Macaca fascicularis: one gene and its partners. The protein of the gene in region 1 interacts with the protein of each later gene in a pairwise test. Links are inferred from orthologs where the notes say so. Each region holds a gene or a part of one and is shown on either strand. Other genes may lie near its edges.

What was found.
Region 2: the proteins of MAPK1IP1L (region 1) and TFG interact in binary tests that used the Homo sapiens proteins (3 or more experiments, as listed by UniProt). The two-hybrid records come from large-scale screens. The link is inferred for Macaca fascicularis from reciprocal best matches to the Homo sapiens genes MAPK1IP1L and TFG.
Region 3: the proteins of MAPK1IP1L (region 1) and SS18L1 interact in binary tests that used the Homo sapiens proteins (3 or more experiments, as listed by UniProt). The two-hybrid records come from large-scale screens. The link is inferred for Macaca fascicularis from reciprocal best matches to the Homo sapiens genes MAPK1IP1L and SS18L1.

Annotation. Positions count from the first base shown.
Region 1 is NC_088381.1:122,905,918-122,911,826, forward strand, and holds the start of MAPK1IP1L (MAPK-interacting and spindle-stabilizing protein-like), read left to right. Parts: upstream 1-2,226; 5' UTR 2,227-2,383; intron 2,384-5,909.
Region 2 is NC_088376.1:182,334,804-182,340,804, reverse strand, and holds the start of TFG (protein TFG), read left to right. Parts: upstream 1-2,666; 5' UTR 2,667-2,809; intron 2,810-2,927; exon of another isoform or gene 2,928-3,085; intron 3,086-3,418; exon of another isoform or gene 3,419-3,636; intron 3,637-6,001. UniProt on the Homo sapiens protein: Plays a role in the normal dynamic function of the endoplasmic reticulum (ER) and its associated microtubules. Required for secretory cargo traffic from the endoplasmic reticulum to the Golgi apparatus.
Region 3 is NC_088384.1:118,188,384-118,194,507, forward strand, and holds the start of SS18L1 (calcium-responsive transactivator), read left to right. Parts: upstream 1-2,072; 5' UTR 2,073-2,392; coding exon 2,393-2,461; intron 2,462-6,124. Other genes in the region: PSMA7 (proteasome subunit alpha type-7), read right to left, coding at 1,778-1,873. UniProt on the Homo sapiens protein: Transcriptional activator which is required for calcium-dependent dendritic growth and branching in cortical neurons. Recruits CREB-binding protein (CREBBP) to nuclear bodies.

The DNA of each region.
Region 1 (5,909 bases):
ATGTTTCTTCTTGGATGTAAGTTCAAATAAACTGATCTGGATAAATTTTCATTTCTTCTTAATTAAAACTTCCTATGTAAAATCCAAAGGCTTTGTGTTTTATTTTAAAAACATATGTCTTCACACATTCAACTTAGAATCTGAAAAAAATAGAGAAATCCACATTCTTACACATTTTCTAATTTATAATACACTCCTTTTAGTTTTTTGTGTTTGGATCTTCCAGAAGCAGGTGCCAAGAGGTGCAAGAGATTTATTTGGAGTGAAATACCTAGAAAGATAAAGAAGGGAGCAGAAGGTGGGGAATTCTTCATACCACTCTGAAAGTCTGACACCTGGAAGGAAGGATTGGGTAGGGGAGCTTTGGACTTCAGTGCACCTTCAAACTGCTAGATGAGGACTTAGTTCCCAAGCAAAGGTTCCCTGTAGACAAGTCCACAGGGACAGGAATGGCCTAGATCTAGACCCCTCCAATGTGCTCAGCTACTGGCTGATTGCAGGCAAGGAAAAGTTGGAGGCTATCCATTACTGGTACAGTGCCAGGACTAGGGTATGGTGAGGCACTTGGGCACAAATATTTGACTAATAGACTAAGGAAGACAATGTTTTGGTGCAATATTGTAAAATCAGAATTGATGCCAAAAAAAGCCTATGATGAGCAAGATACCAAATTTCAAATCAAACATGACTGGATTGCTGATTTCTTGTTGCTTCAGGCTTCACCATGGCTCCACAAAGCACTGCTTATTCACTGTCTCCAGTGAGGACAGGCTAGGTCCACACTAGTCGTGTAATTTTCCATAGGCCTGTGTGCCCTTATCCAAAAATAAGACTCTGGGCTTAGATATTTTAAGTTCCTCTGTTGCCCCTTTTTCAGTGTGAGAATTGTGTTTGCTGTGGAATACATCCAGGGATGTCTTCCTTTAAATAAGTTCACAGTTTTAAATGGCCACCCCCTGACTCACTAATGCCTTACACAAAGCAAGATGCAAGTGCACCACATGCTTTTAGGATATTTTTATATGTTAAAAAAATGTATATTGGCCGGGCGCAGTGGCTCACGTCTGTAATCCCAGCACTTTGGGAGGCCGAGGCAGGCGGATCACAAGGTCAAGAGATCGAGACCATCCTGGCCAACATGGTGAAACCTCGTCTCTAAATTAGCTGGGCAACGTAGAGCGCGCCTGTAGTCCCAGCTACTTGGGAGGCTGAGGCAGGAGAATCGTTTGAACCCGGGAAGCGGAGGTTGCAGTGAGCTGAGATAGCGCCGCGCCACTGCACTCCAGCCTGGCAACAGAGCGAGACTCCGTCTAAAAAAATACATATATTGCATATATGTGTCTATTTTGCACACCATATAATTGTCACGACATCTTTATTGCTAGTTAGTAGGTTCCTTGACTGGGGTCATGTCATCTGTGCCTGACACAGGAGGTAATGTTTATTCAGAAATGAAGATCGCGGCTGGGCGCGGTGGCTCACGCCTGTAATACCAGCACTTTGGGAGGCCGAAGAGGGCGGATCGCTTGAGACTAGCAAGGTGAGACCCCATCTCTACTAAAAACACAAAAATCAGCGGGTGTGGTGACACACGCCTGTAGTCCCAGCTACTAGGAGGCTAAGATGGGAGGATAGCTTGAGACCACCAGGCAGAGGTTGCAGTGAGCCGAGATCGCGCCACTGCATTCCAGTCTGGGTGACAGATGCCTCGTCTCAAAAACCACAAAAAAGAACATAGGAGAAGAGGCATTGATGAGGAAAACTCAGCAAAGACAGCAAATATCAATTTGTTAAGCTATTTGCAAAGGTTTTCTCTTTCCTGTATTAATCTTTTCCCTCTCCCCACTTTTGGCCCGAGGATCTGAATCGTTCGGTCAGGCAGAAATCAGACCGCGTCCATACCCAGCCTCCTTCGAGGCCTAGCTGTAAAAACCGCTGAGCAAAGGGAATCCAGAATCAGCCCTCAAGCAACTCAAGACAAGTTAGCAATTTCCGCCGGTATGCCGTGAACACCGGCGACCACTGGCGTTTCCTCTGAGTCCTCGGAACTCCGGAAACTCTGGGAGCTTTCAGCCCGCCCATCAGGGGAAAGCGGCCCGGGGCCGGCGCCAGGTGGAGCCCATCCCCCTGCGTCTGGCGGGCCGCAGTACCGCCAGGGGCCTGCGGGAGGCGCACGCGGCGCGGCCTGAGGGGAGGGGGAGAGCGGGCGGAGGCGGTGCGCTCGGCGCTTCCTGTTCCGGCGCCAGGAGGAGCCGCGCGCTGCTGGTGCTGTTGCCGCCGCTGCTTTCCCTGCCGTCAGTCAGGCTGCGCCCGCTTCTTCAGGGCCCAGTCCCTCGGACCCATCGCCGCTTCTAGACCCTACTGCGGTCTCGGATATTGCCGGGTGAGGCTGCTTCGGTACTAGTGGGAGTCGTGAAGGGGAATCGGGGGGCTGGGGTTGCGGAGCCCGCGGGCGCGGCCAAGCGGGAAGCGGGCGCGGTAACTGAGGTGCATCGAGTCACGTCCAGTGCTCGGGCCGTGGTCGCCTGCCTGGGACCGGGGCTAAGCGTTTCTCTCGGTCGCCTTCCTCCACGCTGCGGGCTGCCTGGGGATCGCCCCCCAGGGAGAAGGTGTAGGAGGCCGCTGACGTCGCGCCCGACGGGTTTCTGGGCGCCTGACGTCAGGCCTGGCTGCGGGGCGGGGCGGGCGCGGGCCGGCCCCTCCCCCACCCTTTCCCGGCGGGCGCGACCCGCTCGGAGGCCGGTTCGCTCCGGTTGATCCCGGACTCCCTTTGTTCGTGCGTCCCTAAAAGGCTGCCGGCCTCGCGCCTTTTGGCCCCGATTTCCCCTCTACCCCCACCCCATTGCACCCATTCATTAATTTCTAATAAAAAGGGAAAAGCCTGAAAAGATTATTACAGGAATCTCGGGCGCTTGTTAATCCGCAGTGTGACAACGCTCTGGTTATGACTCACTAGAGGAATTGCCCACGGATACGTTAGATGAATACCCAGGGCAAACCACGAGAAGGGCAGAATTTAGGGATCTCCTTTTTAGGACTGAAGAGCGCATACCTACGATAGCTTATATATAGGGGGACCGTTTTCCTCTTTACCTTGAAAAGCAAGAGTACAGCTTTTAATAGGTAAAGATTGCAGTGTTAAAGCATGAAGCCGGACTCGCTCGACCGAAAAATTTTTTTTTAGTTTTACTGCTAGAGAAATACACACCTGGGGGTTGTAAAGGTCTGTTTTGAAAAGGAACCCTCATTACAGGCAAAGGTAGCCTTCAGAAACATTTTGTAAGTTCTTTGTTCACTGGTGTTCTTTGAGGGAAGAATAGAAATTTTTCATGCTGGCATCTCTGAGCCCACAATGCAAAGCGAGTTTGCTTCAGAAACTTGGAGTGAATTGCAAATATTGGAATGTTCTTTTCCTCTCTCCAGGAGGAATGGGTAATATCCATCCCCAGTCTCTTAGCTGAAACTTTTGAAGCTAGTGTGTTTTGAATTCAAAAATACTTGGATTTTATCTTCATCTTTTTAGAAAGACGACATGTTAGACGAGAGATAACACCCCCAGCAGAATGGGGCACCGCATCATCCAACATTAATATTTGCAGCAATAGATGTGAGCATTCATTCTAAGTGGGGGCGAATAGAAACTATAAATAGCTTCAGGTCACATTTTGCCACCATGTAAGATTTGTGCCAAACTTGGGAAAGTTTATTTTTTCGGAAGTCTCTGGATTGAGAAGGGCAGATAAAGATTTATGGACCTAAAAGTAGGCATCGTAAAAGCTAATATTTGTTGAGGTTTTGCTATATTCCAGGCAGTGACTAAGAGATTTGTTTATTATATAAGTCTTAGAGCAAATCTATGATGTGCATACGATTCTGATCTCCCTTTGCCTCGAGTTTGGAGAATTGGACTTGTCAACTCTGGCCAGTCCAACCAGTGAAGAGCTGCAGTTGTAGCTGGATGGTCATACTTTAGCGTTTACTCTTTTACCTATAAGCTAGATGTCCACATACAAGGGAAAGAGAATTTGGTACCTGTTTTCCACCCAAGCACTATTTTAGGCACTTGATTGGACAGAGTCCAATTTAGTTCATCGCAGCATTACTGGTCTGGTTGTTTTTTGTTTTTTGTTTTTAACTGCGTGCTTTTTACAAACAGTATGGCCTGTTCTTTATAGTTCAGGTTCATTCAGATGAGCCGACTCTTACTGAAATAATTCAAACCCTCGTCTAAGGTCTCTCTGCTAAGACTTTCCCCTTCCCTTGCTATATTCTAACCCATCTGAACTGCTTATACCTCCTCACAGATTCTCCCAATTTTTACACCAACTGCTCTTCTTTCCCTAGGACCCATGTCACCGCCCTCTACTCCCAGCTCTTTCTTTATGGTCCTTATGGACTGCAAAAGACAGCACATCTCAGGAATCTCCATGTAATACTAAAATTTCTCTAAAGCCCAACACATTGTTTGGCACATATGTTCCAATAAATATATAACTAAATGCCAAGAAATATTGCAGGTTGCATATCCCTTATCCCAAATGCTTGGAACCAGAAGTGTTTCAGATTTTGGATTTTTTTTTTTATATTACACCAGTTGAGCATCCGAAATCCAGAATGCTCTAATGAGCATTTTCTTTGAGCGGCATGTTGGCACTCAAAAAGTTTCAGATTTTTGAGCATTTCAAAACCCCCGTTTTTGAGTTGCCCAAATGTAAAAAATGGAACATAATCAGATAAATGAGCCAATGCTGAAAACTAGCATGTATTCTAATTTATAACTTTTTATTTTTGGAGACAGTCACTCACTGCAAGTTCCGCCTCCTGGGTTCAAGCGATTCTCCTGCCTCAGCCTACCGAAGTAGCTGGGATTACAGGTGTCTGCCACCGTGCCCAGCTAATTTTTTGTATTTTTGGTTGAGATGGGGTTTCACCATGTTGGCAAGGCTGGTCTTGAACTCCTGATCTCACGTGATCCACCCCCCTGGGCCTCCCAAAGTGCCGGGATTACAGGCTTGAGACACTGTGCCCAGCCATTAATTTATATTTTCAGTATGATACATATCATCCCCTGCATACTAAACAAATCAACCCCAAAATTTTGATTTTATTTAATTTTGCCTAATAAATATCTAACATGTATATAGCACTTTATAGATTAAGTGTGTTACTATTTTCTGTGCAGTGGGTAGGAGCTATAACTTCTACAGATGGAAAATGGTCTCATTGAGAAGTTTATTTTTGTCAAAAGATACCGTCAAAAAGGATTGATGTCTGGGTTTCATCACTGTGTAGTCCCATACTGTTTATTACTCCGTCACAATTTGAAGGCTCTGTGAAATATCCATGAACTCCACTAGTAATTCATGGAGTTCAACTCTCTTAACCACCCTCCTCCCTGACCCATGATTGAATTGTCATTTTTACCCTAACAGCCATGAGAGTTTCCAAAATGTTATGTTTTACTTTTCTAGTGTATGTCAAAAGAAATTTTGTACTGTTTTAAAATTACTATTCTTGCTGCTCAGAGAATAAAAATTATTATTTTTCAGACGATGGGTGGATCGGACGATGCTATAAAATGGTAACAAAGTTTTGGAAATAATCGCTTTAGATTATTCCAAAAAGGAAAAAAAAATGAAAGCCTTTCTTAAGTATACATTTTTTTTATGAGTTCAAGGTTACATTGGCCTCATCTTAATAATCAGCAGTGAATCAGATATTTTGGAATAGCTTTATATTTTTATTTATTTTTCTTTTTGAGACAGAGTCTCACTATATTGCCCAGGCTGGTCTTTAACTACTGGCCTCAAGCGGTCTTCCCACCTCAGCCTCCTGAGAAGCTGGGATTACAGGTGCACACGACTAAGCGCGGCTTAGAATAGCTTTTTAGAAAACCTAAACTTTTTACG
Region 2 (6,001 bases), on another chromosome or scaffold:
TCATAGCCTTTGTCTCATTTCTTGTCCAGTCTGAGAATCCTGTTTTCATTCTTAGGATTTTCCCCCCTTTTCCACGTGAGGAGTTTTAGCTACACAGACTTTCAGGGAGAAAGAGCAGGTGGTAGGTAAGTTGGTTGGTTGATTCCTTCTCTTAAAACCACAGCGTAAGTCTTAACCCTTCTTCAGGTGAAACATGGAAAATAACCTGTGTACTGCAGAATCTCATATCTCTCCTTGCTACAGTCTGGGTCAAAGGTATTTCCTTGCACTGCTTCTCCTTCCTTCACATATCCTCAACTTTAATATACTACCATTAAGCAGTATTTTCTTTTTTTTTTCTTAGCAGTTCCTTGGAAGAAATGAGTAGTATTTTCTAGTTCAAGACTATGCTCAGTGTTCATTTAAAACCAAATTCATCTAGATGTAGAAAACGCGGCCAGTATGTATCTACAGACATAGTACAAGAGACCCATGTTCTTGGTAAGTGAGGTAACTGGTTCAATTCAGGTTATGGCTCTGTCATAGAGCCATAACCTGGTTATGGCTCATGTCTAGTTATCACCTGTATGTATTTAGCCTAAGTACATAGATGTGCATCAGCTTCGACTTGAGAAATCACCAGAACCCCACCTCTCAAGTTCCACAGAAATAGTTGGGAACAGGTTTTACCATTAAACAAGACTTTACTGATGGCTTGGGGATGAAGCATGAGGGAAATTACAACATAAAGAGCCTCAAGTTGCTTTCAGAGTCCATGAGCTCCAGACTTTCCACAAGGCCAGCTTATGGGTGCCTCTCTTCCTAGCATACGGATGACCACAGTGTAACAGGCACCAGTTTATTTCTCCTCAGTAGCAGGACTCTTGAGTGCCCCCTCACTGGGGATCCTCAGCAGATATTCTTTTCACCTTATAATAGGCCAAGGTTCATCTCCTTATCTCCTGCCTCAGGATCTGACCTCTTTTTAGTTTAAATATACTACTATAACAGTAGTATAATTTACTTCCTTCAGGGAATATTTTACCTTTGCCACATGGTTGTGGTTTTACCCCATCCCAAACCATTTTAATGACATCATAATACTATTATCTGACAGCAGTGCATCTCCTTAAATCTGTATTATTCCATTTTAAAAAATAAGCAATGAATAACTTCTTTGGAGAGCAATCAGGAACTGTTTTTCATTTCTTCTGCAGTACTCCACAACCTTATCCCTGCAAACAATTGTTCAAAGGGCAATACAACTGTTGGCAAATACAAATCAGAAGTGAACAGTCTAAACTTACATTATTTCACTCTCAAACAGAAGTTTCAGAGACTTATAACTGAAAAATATCACACTACTCATAGTAGTAAAAGAACATAGCTTCTCACCCTGAAACACTTGAATTTACCCCAGGTCCTTTACGAGTATCGGGTGTTAAAGCAAACTAAGTATGGCCTGAGAAGGACTCCATACTTTTATATTTGAATCCTTGTGGATGAACTGTAACCTAGCTTAATAGACAAGAATGAAAACCTAACTTAGGAGTATGCATCTGTAACAATAACCTAGTCTTGGCCAATTCCAGCCACCACCCTCAACCACTCATAGACTGCTAAGTGTTCAAATAAGGCAAACGCCAACCTGTAACCAATCCAGCTGTTTCTGTACTTGACTCCCGATTTCTGTACCTCATTTCCCTTTTTCTGTCTAAAATCTTCCACCACATGGCTGTGCTGGAGTCTCTGAATCTGCTGTGATTCTGGGGGCTGCCCAGTTTGTGAAATCATTCGTTGCTCAATTAAACTCCTTTAAATTTAATTCAGCTTAAGTTTTTCTCTTATAACTGGTAAACAACTGGAGACCAGGTAGGGTATAAATGCTTTATTTATCGGCTTAGTCTCCACCTTCGAAGTGACAAAGATTCTCTGCTTGGCCAAACTTCAGGCTCCTGAGCCTTCTCCTAGGCCCATCTGTGCATCTTCTTGTAAAACTCAGTTTCAGCAAAGAACCTTGTTAAGTCAGTATAGTAAGAATCCCTCACCCTTGATCAGGTTCCTCATCCTCCACCACCCCCAGGTGATGTCTGTTATCCTGGCCTGTCTTCATCTAGAATCCTGTTGTGTTGGTTTAGCCAGAATCTCCCTTGTCCCTGACATTTCCTCTTAGTAATTTTCCATCCACTGACCGACTCCCACCCCTTGGCTATAAATTCCCACTTATACTGTATTTCTATTTGAACAGGTAAAGGAGAAGGGAAGAGTACGTAGTGCACACTCAAATGCCTTATCCTCCAAAAATCACTCAGGAATCATTAGCCTTAATTTCCCAGCTTTTGTCCTTTACACAGTCACATATTTGTCTTGGCTTATAAACGCTGTCGGTCTTCCCTGCTGAATTGGAAACTCCTTGCTCACAAAATGATTCACCCCCATTCCTAGAACGGGGCTTGGCAAAGCGTAGGCTCCCAGTAATGAATGAATGGATTTGTGGAAGAAAAGGTTTTTATTTCATCTGTTACTACAATGGTCAACAACAACGACAAAAACCACTTAAAGTTGGACAGACCTGCAACCGGCTCTCAAAAAGTCTAGAACAGCGCACTACGCCCCGCCCATTGGCGAGAAACGGAAATACATGCTTTCCAGAAAACCGGAAGTGCCTGGTCACGCCCCGCGCATGCGTGAATCGGCGCAGCTCACGCTTCCTACAGCCCATCATCCAGCGAGAAAGCAGGGAGTCTTCGGTAGAGGCAGCCGGGACCGAGGCAGCCGGGACCCAGCCAGCCCTGAGCCTGGCGCATGCGTCCTGGTGTGTCCACGCGCAGTAAGGAGGGGCGAAAGGGCTTTTTTTTTTTTTTCTTGCTCCCGCCTCTCTTCTTCCCCCACCTGCCACGTACAGAGCCCGAGTTCTCGCTAGGCTTGTTGGGTCAACGCGATTGGCCGAGGCCCGCGCGAGCCTGCGAGCGAGGTGCGGCGGTCGCGGAGGGCAACGGAGCGGGCAGTGACCACCGCCTCCCCGCGACGCCCCAGTCCAGTGGCCTCGCGTCGGCCCATTCAGCTGAGACCTGCGGCGAGGCGGCGGCGCGGCCTCCGCAAGCCGGTATGGCCACTGGAGACGGGGGTTGCGGCCGCTCTCTCCGAGGAGGCCGGGAGACGAGGAGGCGCTGTGAAGGCCTCGCTCGAACCGCCCGGCGACTGGGGTCGGAGGCGCTGGGGAAGGGGCTGGAGGGAGGAGGGGGCGGGGGGAGGACGGAGCCGGAGGCAGGAAGGGCGGGGCTTTGCATAGGGGGAAGGGAAAGGAGGTCGCGGAGGGGGAGGGCAGAGAGGCAACCCCTGGCCGCGCTGGCCAGGAGGCGCGCCTCGGGGGCTCCGGGAGGCGAGTGGGCCAGTTAATTCCTTGGTGCAGCCTGCCTCAAAGGTTTTGGATTGAGAGGAGAGGGCCTTTGGGAGGTCTGGGTTGGCCGGCGCCCAGCACCCGAAGGCGCTCGGAAGGGTGCGGAGTGGCGCCTACGGGAATAAGTTGATTGGGGTCACTGAATTGGAGCCTGGTTCCTTGGCTAAGTCAACGCTTAAGCGCCAGCTGGAGGCCCAACCTGGTTTTATAGTGATGATTCTAGCTAATTTTAAGAGTTTGCTTTGCTGGACACTAAAGTAAGTATTTGAGATGCAGTGTCTCATTTAATCATCACAAGGATGCCTCCAAATTCAGATATTGTTATTTTCATTTGGAATATGTTGAAAGTGAGCCTTCGAGGACTTAAGATCACATCGCTGGTAGTGGGAATCTTGACCGTCTTGCTACACTGCCTCTGAGGCAGGGTTTGAGGCCTGTTGCCTTGTTTAGAATAATTACAGGTTGACTTGACTTAGTATTTCTTGAAGGAAACTGCTCCCCTCAGGAGGTGCCTAAGCCACAGCCTCTGAAATTGAGCAGGGTCTTACCCTTACAGATAGCAGAACCAGAAGTATGGCCACTGAACCTAGGTCCTGGTTCAGGAGGAAGGCTTTTTATATGACCTTGAGCATGTCAGATTATTCCCAGTGCTGAGAAAAGCGTTCCTGTTGGAGGGTTATATTATACAAGTTAGAGGCCGAGACATTTCTGGACTTCAGAGGGGCCGGGGCAGGGACAAGATGGGAGAAGAGCTTGTTGTAGGGCTCCTACTGGCAGTTCTAGGAGCTAGTTGTTAATACCAGTCTCTACTTTGGAAGAGAAAACGAGTACCAGAATTCTGTATATGAAGTAATGTTGGGATGGGATTTCCCCTTGAGAGGAAACTTTTGTTGCACACTTACTTTTGAGATACTTTTGTGTTTACTCTGGGGAGATGACTGCACGAGCTAACAACAGCTTTAGGAAAGAAGCACTGGTTCCTGGCCACAAGATATTTACAGTCAGTGGGAAACACAAAAAGTGAATTTGCATGCAAACACATGGAAGATAGAAAGCATACCTGACTCAATTTTTTTTTTTTTTTGAGACGGAGTCTCAGGTTGGTGTGCAGTGGCGTGATTCCCCCGGCTCACTGCAACCTCCGCCTCCCGGTTTCGAGCGATTCTCCTTCCTCAGCCTCCTGAGTATCTGGAATTACAGGCGCACACCACCACGCCTGGCTAATTTTTGTCTTTTTAGTAGAGACGGAGTTTCACCATGTTGATCGTCTGGTCTTGAACTCCTGACCTTGTGATCCGCCCGCCTCGGCCTCCCAAAGTGCTGGGATTACAGGTGTGAGCCACCGCGCCCGGCCTTCAAACTTTAAATCCATTGAAATTGGGCAACAAACCCGTACCCCAGTCAGAAGGACATACCATCAATTATATTCAAAGCTGGAATTTTTTCTTAATTAGGCATGTGTCTGACGGAAGTCACTTCTAGCTCCATAAAGAAGGTATAGTGTGAGGATCGGATGTAAAAACTGATCTGTATGACAGCTTTCTTCTCCCATACTTCAAAAAATTTAAAGTCTTTAAATACTATATGTCAGGCACTTTTCTAGGTGCTGCTGGGAATAGATAATACCAGCTTACTGAAGCTAAGCACTGGGTCCTTTTACATTATTCCTGGTTTACACTTCTTGTAGAAAGGAGAAGGTAACAAATACATTGATTTTTTGAAAGATCTTTATTACTCTTAGGCTGCAAAGCAAACAAGATGGAATATTTACCATCTTGGTGAAATAATTATACTTTAGAGCTTGGCACATAGTAGGTATTTAGAAGTAATTCCTGAATGCAGAAGGCATTGCAGAAGGCATTGCAGAAGGCGAAGAGTTGGTTGTATGGAGATTTCTGTTAATCACTGTCTTCATGAGAAGTCCATTGTAAGAACTGGCAGATAAAAAACTAACTGTATTCTTTCTTTGCGTTAAGATAAGCATGGCATCTCTAGAGTGGAATGCAGTTCACTCTATTCTGCATTGACCTTAAAGTGTTATATTTAGTTTTAATGACCCATTTCATTGAAGATTTATTAATAAAATATCTGTTCAGAGCATGGTGAGGGGTCTAGAGATACTAATTTAAGGACTAGTTAGGTGAAAGGACGAAGGGTATTTATATGAAGAATAGTAGAGCATTAATATATAATATTCATATAATAGGATTCATGGAAACTTTTTTCAAGTACTTGAAGGGTTGATATGCTGGGGGAGTAGGTGAGTGCTTTCACATACCCCGAAAGAATAAACAATAATTGCAGAGAAGTGTGGTGTTAATGAAATAACAGATTTAAGAAGAGGAAGCAGAAAGCTGCTAGTAGTAAGGCGGGAAGTTGAAACTAGAATGTGGCCAGTAGGAGTTTTTGGACACCTTTAAATGTCTCAGATCATTTTCTTGGGGCAGGAGGAGGAAGGAGTTGATGCTTAGGAAATGTTCAGCGTTTATAGATAACATTCAGGAACATCTTGGCCTTGAGAAGAAGAGATATTAACCCATTATTTGATAAGTAAATCCTCCCTTATTATCTAGCAACTATTTAACTTGCTAGAGACCTTCAACATTATTTTGAATTTAAAAT
Region 3 (6,124 bases), on another chromosome or scaffold:
CACATCCTGCAAACCCAGGGGCATTCATCTACTGCTGGTAGAGCTAGCCCAGGCGTGCTCACCTAGGTGCCCAACCTGCGCCTTTCAAATGCTGAGATGTAGTTTTAGTTACAGCATAGCTAGTAAGTAACCATTATATAATCGGCATGTGTTTCCTTTCAACCCAATGAATCAAACAGTCCCATGCAAAGCCTGGAAGCCTCAGACTTTCACACTCGAGTCTGGTGTTCTGAAGGCAGTGTTTCTGTAGTTGTGAAATTGTATTGAGCCACAATGCACTGTTTCCTGCACTGTGACATACTCATGTGACAGCCGTGGGAAGGGGCCTGATTTGCCACCAGTGGACAAGGTGTCAACTGTTATCCCAAATTGTTTATGGCTGATACTAGAGAAGGATGTAGCTGTTACTAAAAGCACCGACAATCACTGACAGTCAACCCCGAGTCAAGCCAGAAACAAAGGGAACCATCATTGGGATAAACAGCGGCTCCTGGTTTAGAGCAGGGGCTTCTCCCGCTTAGCACTGTGAGCACCTGGGCAGGCTGATCTCACTGTTCCTGCCGCCCTAAGCACGGGTGGGATATTGAGCAGCGTCCCTGGCCTCTACCCTCTAAATGCCAGGAGCACCTCTGCAAGGTCTTAGACCACTAGAAAAGTCGCCACACACTGCCAGTGGCCCCTGTGGGCACAAAACCATCCCTGGCTGAGAAGTTCTGGTCTCAAGTGTTCGGGTTTTCCGGGAGCTTTCTCAGGTACTGACTCACTTGACCTTCAACTGACTCGAGGCCCAGAGAAGCTACATGGATTTGTTAAAGCCAGGTGCAGCCAACTGGCGGAGGTGGGAGTATTGGGGTCGAAGGCAGGGGTCAGCCGACTCCTAGTGCTCTTTAAGCTGACTTAGATCACCTGATGAATAACTGGGCCTTCATTTCAAAACAAAGATTCAGAAAATGAAAACAATTCAAAATTTAGAGAACCGTGTGTGCTTTCTTTGCCTGCTCAAACCTCTGAATACCAGGTGATAAAAGAATAACGATCTCACAGGCTGACCAACAAAACTGACACGTCTTGATGCTACGAATTTAAGTTTCAAACAATGTCACTAAGGTCAATGTACACGAGCCCTCGTCAAAATTGAAACGGCCGTGTTCAGACCAGTCCTGACCCGGGCGGCTGCAGCCCGGCCCCGGGAAGGCTCCTTCCGGCAGAGTGCAGGGACCCGGGAAGCGCCCGCCACCGGCCAGACCAGCGAGCTGCTTTGTTCCCGAAGCCCACCTGGGCCTAGAGAACAAGTGTTGCCCTGGGGCGGGTGGGGGTCCCCGTAACGGGGGACTGAGCAGTTCGCTACCCAGCCACCCGGCTGCGTGAACAGCCCCCAGCGAGCGCACAGTCGATCCCCCGCGGCCTGCAGCGGCCCTCGCCCGGCCTCTGCAAACCGGGTCGGCGATGCGACCCACGCGCCCGGCCGGGGCCAGGGGTGCCCAAGATGGCGTCGCCACGGTCCCGCGTGCCCGGTGCCCCACGCGAGGCCGGGCCCCAAGCGAGGCGCTGGGTGGGGAGAACGGGCCATCGCGGCTCACGCCAAACGCCGCCTCTGCAGGCACTCGTGGAGACCGGCAGCGGGGCCCGCGCTCAGCTACAGCCCCGACTGCCCACGCCGCTGCCCCGCGCACGCCCGCGTGCGCCCACAGCTCCGCGCCCGACCCCGACCCTCTCTCGGCTCCCCAGCCCCACTTCCGCCCGCGTCCCCGGCCCCGCGCAGGCCCCGGCGGCTCACCGCGGTCGAGCCCTTCTTGACGGCCTCCTGCGCGTACTCCACTTGGAAGAGATGGCCGTCGGGCGAAAAGACGGTGATGGCGCGGTCGTAGCTCATGCCGGCGGGGCGGCGGCCGAGTTCCTTCCGCCGCGACTCTCAAAAGCGCACACTCACGGCCCGCGCGCACCCGCGACTCCCGGCGCCACTGCGCCCGCGCCCCGCCCTCGGCGCCGTGACCTGCGCTGCCGGCGACGGGCGGCGTCAGGCGGCGTCGGGCGGCGTCAGGCGGCGTCGGGCGGACGTGCGGGCGGGCGCCGGGGCGGGGCCAGGCCGAACCACCGGTGGCCGGGGGTGGGAGGCGGTGCTCCGGCGGAGGGCCGGGCGCTGGGTGCGAGGGGGCCGCCGGGGGCCACCGTTCGGCACTGGGCCGCAGACCCTTCTGCAGGGCGGAGCGGCGGCGCCGCGGGCCCGGAGGCTCGGCGACGGCGACGAGGCGGACGAGCCCATGACGCGGCGCCCCCCGCGCCCCCGCCCCCTGCCCCCCCGCCGCTACTGCGGATAATGAGCGCCTCGGGCCGCCGAGCGCAGCCGGAGTATCCACCCCGATGACCACGGGCTGAGTCCCGCGCAGCCACCATGTCCGTGGCCTTCGCGTCCGCCCGGCCAAGAGGCAAAGGGGAGGTCACGCAGCAAACCATCCAGAAGGTGGGCCGGGCCGGGGCGGCGGCGCCGGGCGGCGGGGCTGAGGGCGGGCGCTCGCGGGGCCGGGGCGCGGGCAGCTGGCGGGCGCAGGGCGCGAACAAAGCCGGGGCGCAGCCGGGCGGCCGCGAACCCGGACGGCGGCCCGGTGCCCGTCCCCGCGTTCCACGCCTGCGCGCCAGCGGGCACCGGGCCGTGTGGGGGGCGCTCCCCGGAGAGCCTGCGCCAACTTTGTTGGGGCGGCGGGTCCCTCGGGCCGGGGCACGGGGCGCTGGGGGCCGGGCGGACGCTGGAGGGTGCCGGCCCCCGAGCGCGCTGTCCTCCGAGTCCGCGGCGCGCGCTGGGAACAGTCCTGGGCCGTGCCGGGCGCACGGGGACCCCTCGGGGCCGGGGCGAGGGCTCGTCGCGCTCCGCAGCCAGTCTCGGTGGCGAAGGCGGGCGGCGGGCGACACTCGCTCTCTGCGCTCAGCTTGGCGAGTGGAGAAGGGCGCGGGCCGGCCTCCGGGCGCACGGAGATGGCGGGGCCCGCGGCCAGGGCTGCCCCTTCTGCCGCTGGAGCGAGGCGCGGACGATGGAGGCACAGAGGGACGCCTCCCAATGCCCATTTGGAGGGCATCGTTAGGCAGCTCGGCCCCGTAAGAAGCGCACCGCCCACCCGTATCCTCGCGGCCACGCCGCATTTCAGCGTGACACCCTCCCCCGCCGCCTCGCCTAACAAACTTGGTGGATTTGCTCCACAACCTTTCCTCTAGCTCCGTAAGTTCGGCCTTGTGGATTTCAAGAGACAGCGTTTACAGGGGTTTGGGATACCGTTATCCAAAGCCCTAAGTTTTGAAATTGAGACTTTGCATTTTCTGCTGTTTTTCGGTAGAAGACAAATTCGGAAGAAAATCAGCATTAGCCATTCCCGTTTCAGTTGTCGCAACATCTTTTGGAGTGACATTCGTTTTTTCCTCAACTCCGACTCCGTCTTCACCCTGGTGGGATTGCAGGGATAAACAGTGGTATTCCTAGGTTCCCAGGAGCGGCGTGTCTCCCTAAGGGGGTTCACCTTGACCTTGATTGTGGCTCTTATTCCTTGATGACATGCCAGTCTCCTGTGGAAGTTGTCCTAAATCTATCGCCTATTTTGAGACTATCCTTGCTGTTGCTAGTTTTAGAAATTTGATGGTCTTAACAAATGAGAACCTTGGCCAACTCTGAACAGGAGAGATTGAGAATAGCAGAAACACAGATTTACAAGTGTGGCATTTTAATTTACGTAGTAAACACTTATGTGTGCCTACTGTATCCCAGACACTTCTAAGGGTTTTATAAATTTTAATTCATCCAATTCTTCATAGAAGCTACTGGCATCCCGTTTAACAGTTAAGGACGCTGAGGTCTAGGGAGGCTGTGCCTTGCTGGTAAGTGGACGCTGAAGCCTGGGGTGCTGAGTGCCTTGCTGCTAAGTGGCACAGCCAGGTGTTGAACCCAGACTGTGACTCCAGGGTCTGCTCTGTTGGTACCCCTTGATCTGGGAACATTTGGCCAGGCGGAGGTCAAGCTCTAGGCTCAGAGGCAAATGTTGGAACCCGGAGCATCTCCTGGCACTCTGGTTTTTTGGACCTTAGCAGTCATTGTTCCTGAAGCTACTTTTGTCTTCAACGTTCGTCCTGTTATTTGCACTGCGCACACACTTCCATTGAAGCTCCCCAAATTCTCCAGGTAAAAGTGTGTATTGAGGTGCTGCCCCAAACATCAGATTAGAAAGGAAGAAATGCACCTGTGGACTGTGTGTCCCAGGGCAGAAACTCAGCCTGCTGACCATTGGAAATGGATCTTTAGTTTAGGCTGCTGACTTGGCCTGGTAGGGCCAGCAGGCTGCATATTGGGCTTGGTGTTTTGACAGTGAATGTATTTACCCAGGGATCTTTTACTGGGAGGTGTGAGAAGGCTGAGAAGGGTGTGAGAGGTGCGTGTTCTATGCCTAAAACGTGTGCTGTGTCCACAGTGTGTGCTAGTAGTCTCATGCCGAGAGCATTAAGAGAAGCCAGGGACCCCTCTGAAACCCGCTTGGTAGTGAAGGGGAAGGAAGAATACAACTTGTCCTTAACAACATAGTGTGTGGGTGGGGATCTTCCAAGCCAACTTCTACTCAACCTTCAAAGCCTCACTCAAATGTTCCCTGTCTCATGCTCCCTCAGCCGTCATGTGGCCCAGGAAGCACTTGCTTGGGCTCCTGAGTTCAGCATGTGACTGATGAATTCTTTGCTGATCCCCAGCCTCTCGTCGTGTCTGAGCACAGTTAGTGCTGAGCACGTGCCGGTGCATCTGTGACTCTGGTTCCATCAGTGGAAGTGTTTTGAAATAAGCAGATGCGTCAGTGTCCTGTGACTTCCTTGACACATTACCACAACCCAGGTGGCTTCAAACGACAGAAATCTATTCCCTTACAGTTTTGGAGGCCAGAAGTCCCAAGTCCAGGGGTCAGTTCCCTGCTCTTCTCTTGGCTTCTGATGGCTGTGGGCAGCCCTTGGTGTTCTCTAGCTTGTAGGTGTATCCAGCCAGTCTCTGATTTCATCATCATCTTTTTTTTTTTTTTTTTTTTTTGAAATGGAGTTTCGCTCTTGTTGCCCAGGCTAGAGTGCAATGGCACCATCTTGGGCTCACAGCCTCCGCCCCCCCACCCGCCCACGTTCAAACAGTTCTCCTGCCTCAGCCTCCTGAGTAGCTGGAATTACAGGCACGTGCCACCATATCCAGCTAATTTTGTGTTTTTAGTACAGACGGCGTTTCTCCATGTTGGCCAGGCTGGTCTTGAACTCCCGACCTCAGGTGATCCGCCCCCCCCCACCCCCCTTGGCCTCCCAAAGTGCTGTGATTACAGGCATGAGCCATCATGCCTGGCCTCAATTTCCCAGTTTTTATAAGGACTCTAGTCATTGGTTTTAGGGCCTGCGTTAATCCAGCAAGACCCCATCTTTGTTTCATTTTCAAATAGCTTGTTTCTAGTACCTCCCATGCGCAGGGACTGGGGTCCGGGCACAGTTCAGCCCACAAGAGTGCATTTGTGGTGAGGGCTAGCTCAGAGAAAGAGAGCCATGAGGCGGAGGCAGAGAGTCACAGAGGGTCCGGAACCTGGCCTGCATGGAGCAGGTATTGGGGGACCCAAAGTGGAAGGGCAGGGAGTGCTGGGCTGATGTGGGGAGGGTAGCTGGTGGTGACCAGGCAGCAGTGCATGGGTGAGATGGTCAGAACCACTCTGCGGCAAGCACCACAAGGGACATGACTGTGCTAGGGAACCCTGTGGTGGGGCTGGGCCATGTCACCACAGTGGCCCTTGGGCCTGGCTGGCTGTTCTCTGGCCACCAGCTGGGAACTGTAGTGTCCTACTGTCCAGTGTGTGCTCCTTACGCTGCTGTTGGGGCTGGGGCTGCAGTGGTCACCACGGACCATGTGGCCAGACTTGACCCCTGGGTTGCCTCCTTGCTGCTTGGCATACAGTAATTGGTCAATAAATGTGTTACTGTTTCTGTTAGTATTGGTTTTCTCATTGGTTTCCTTGGCCGGATAATAGCAGTGGTGTCTGCCCGTCTGCTGGGTGTCTGGATCCCCAGTGCCTGTTGCAGGGCAGGGTTGGGGAAGAGCTCTGAGGGAATGGGACAGAGCTGAGAGGAGGTGGGGCCC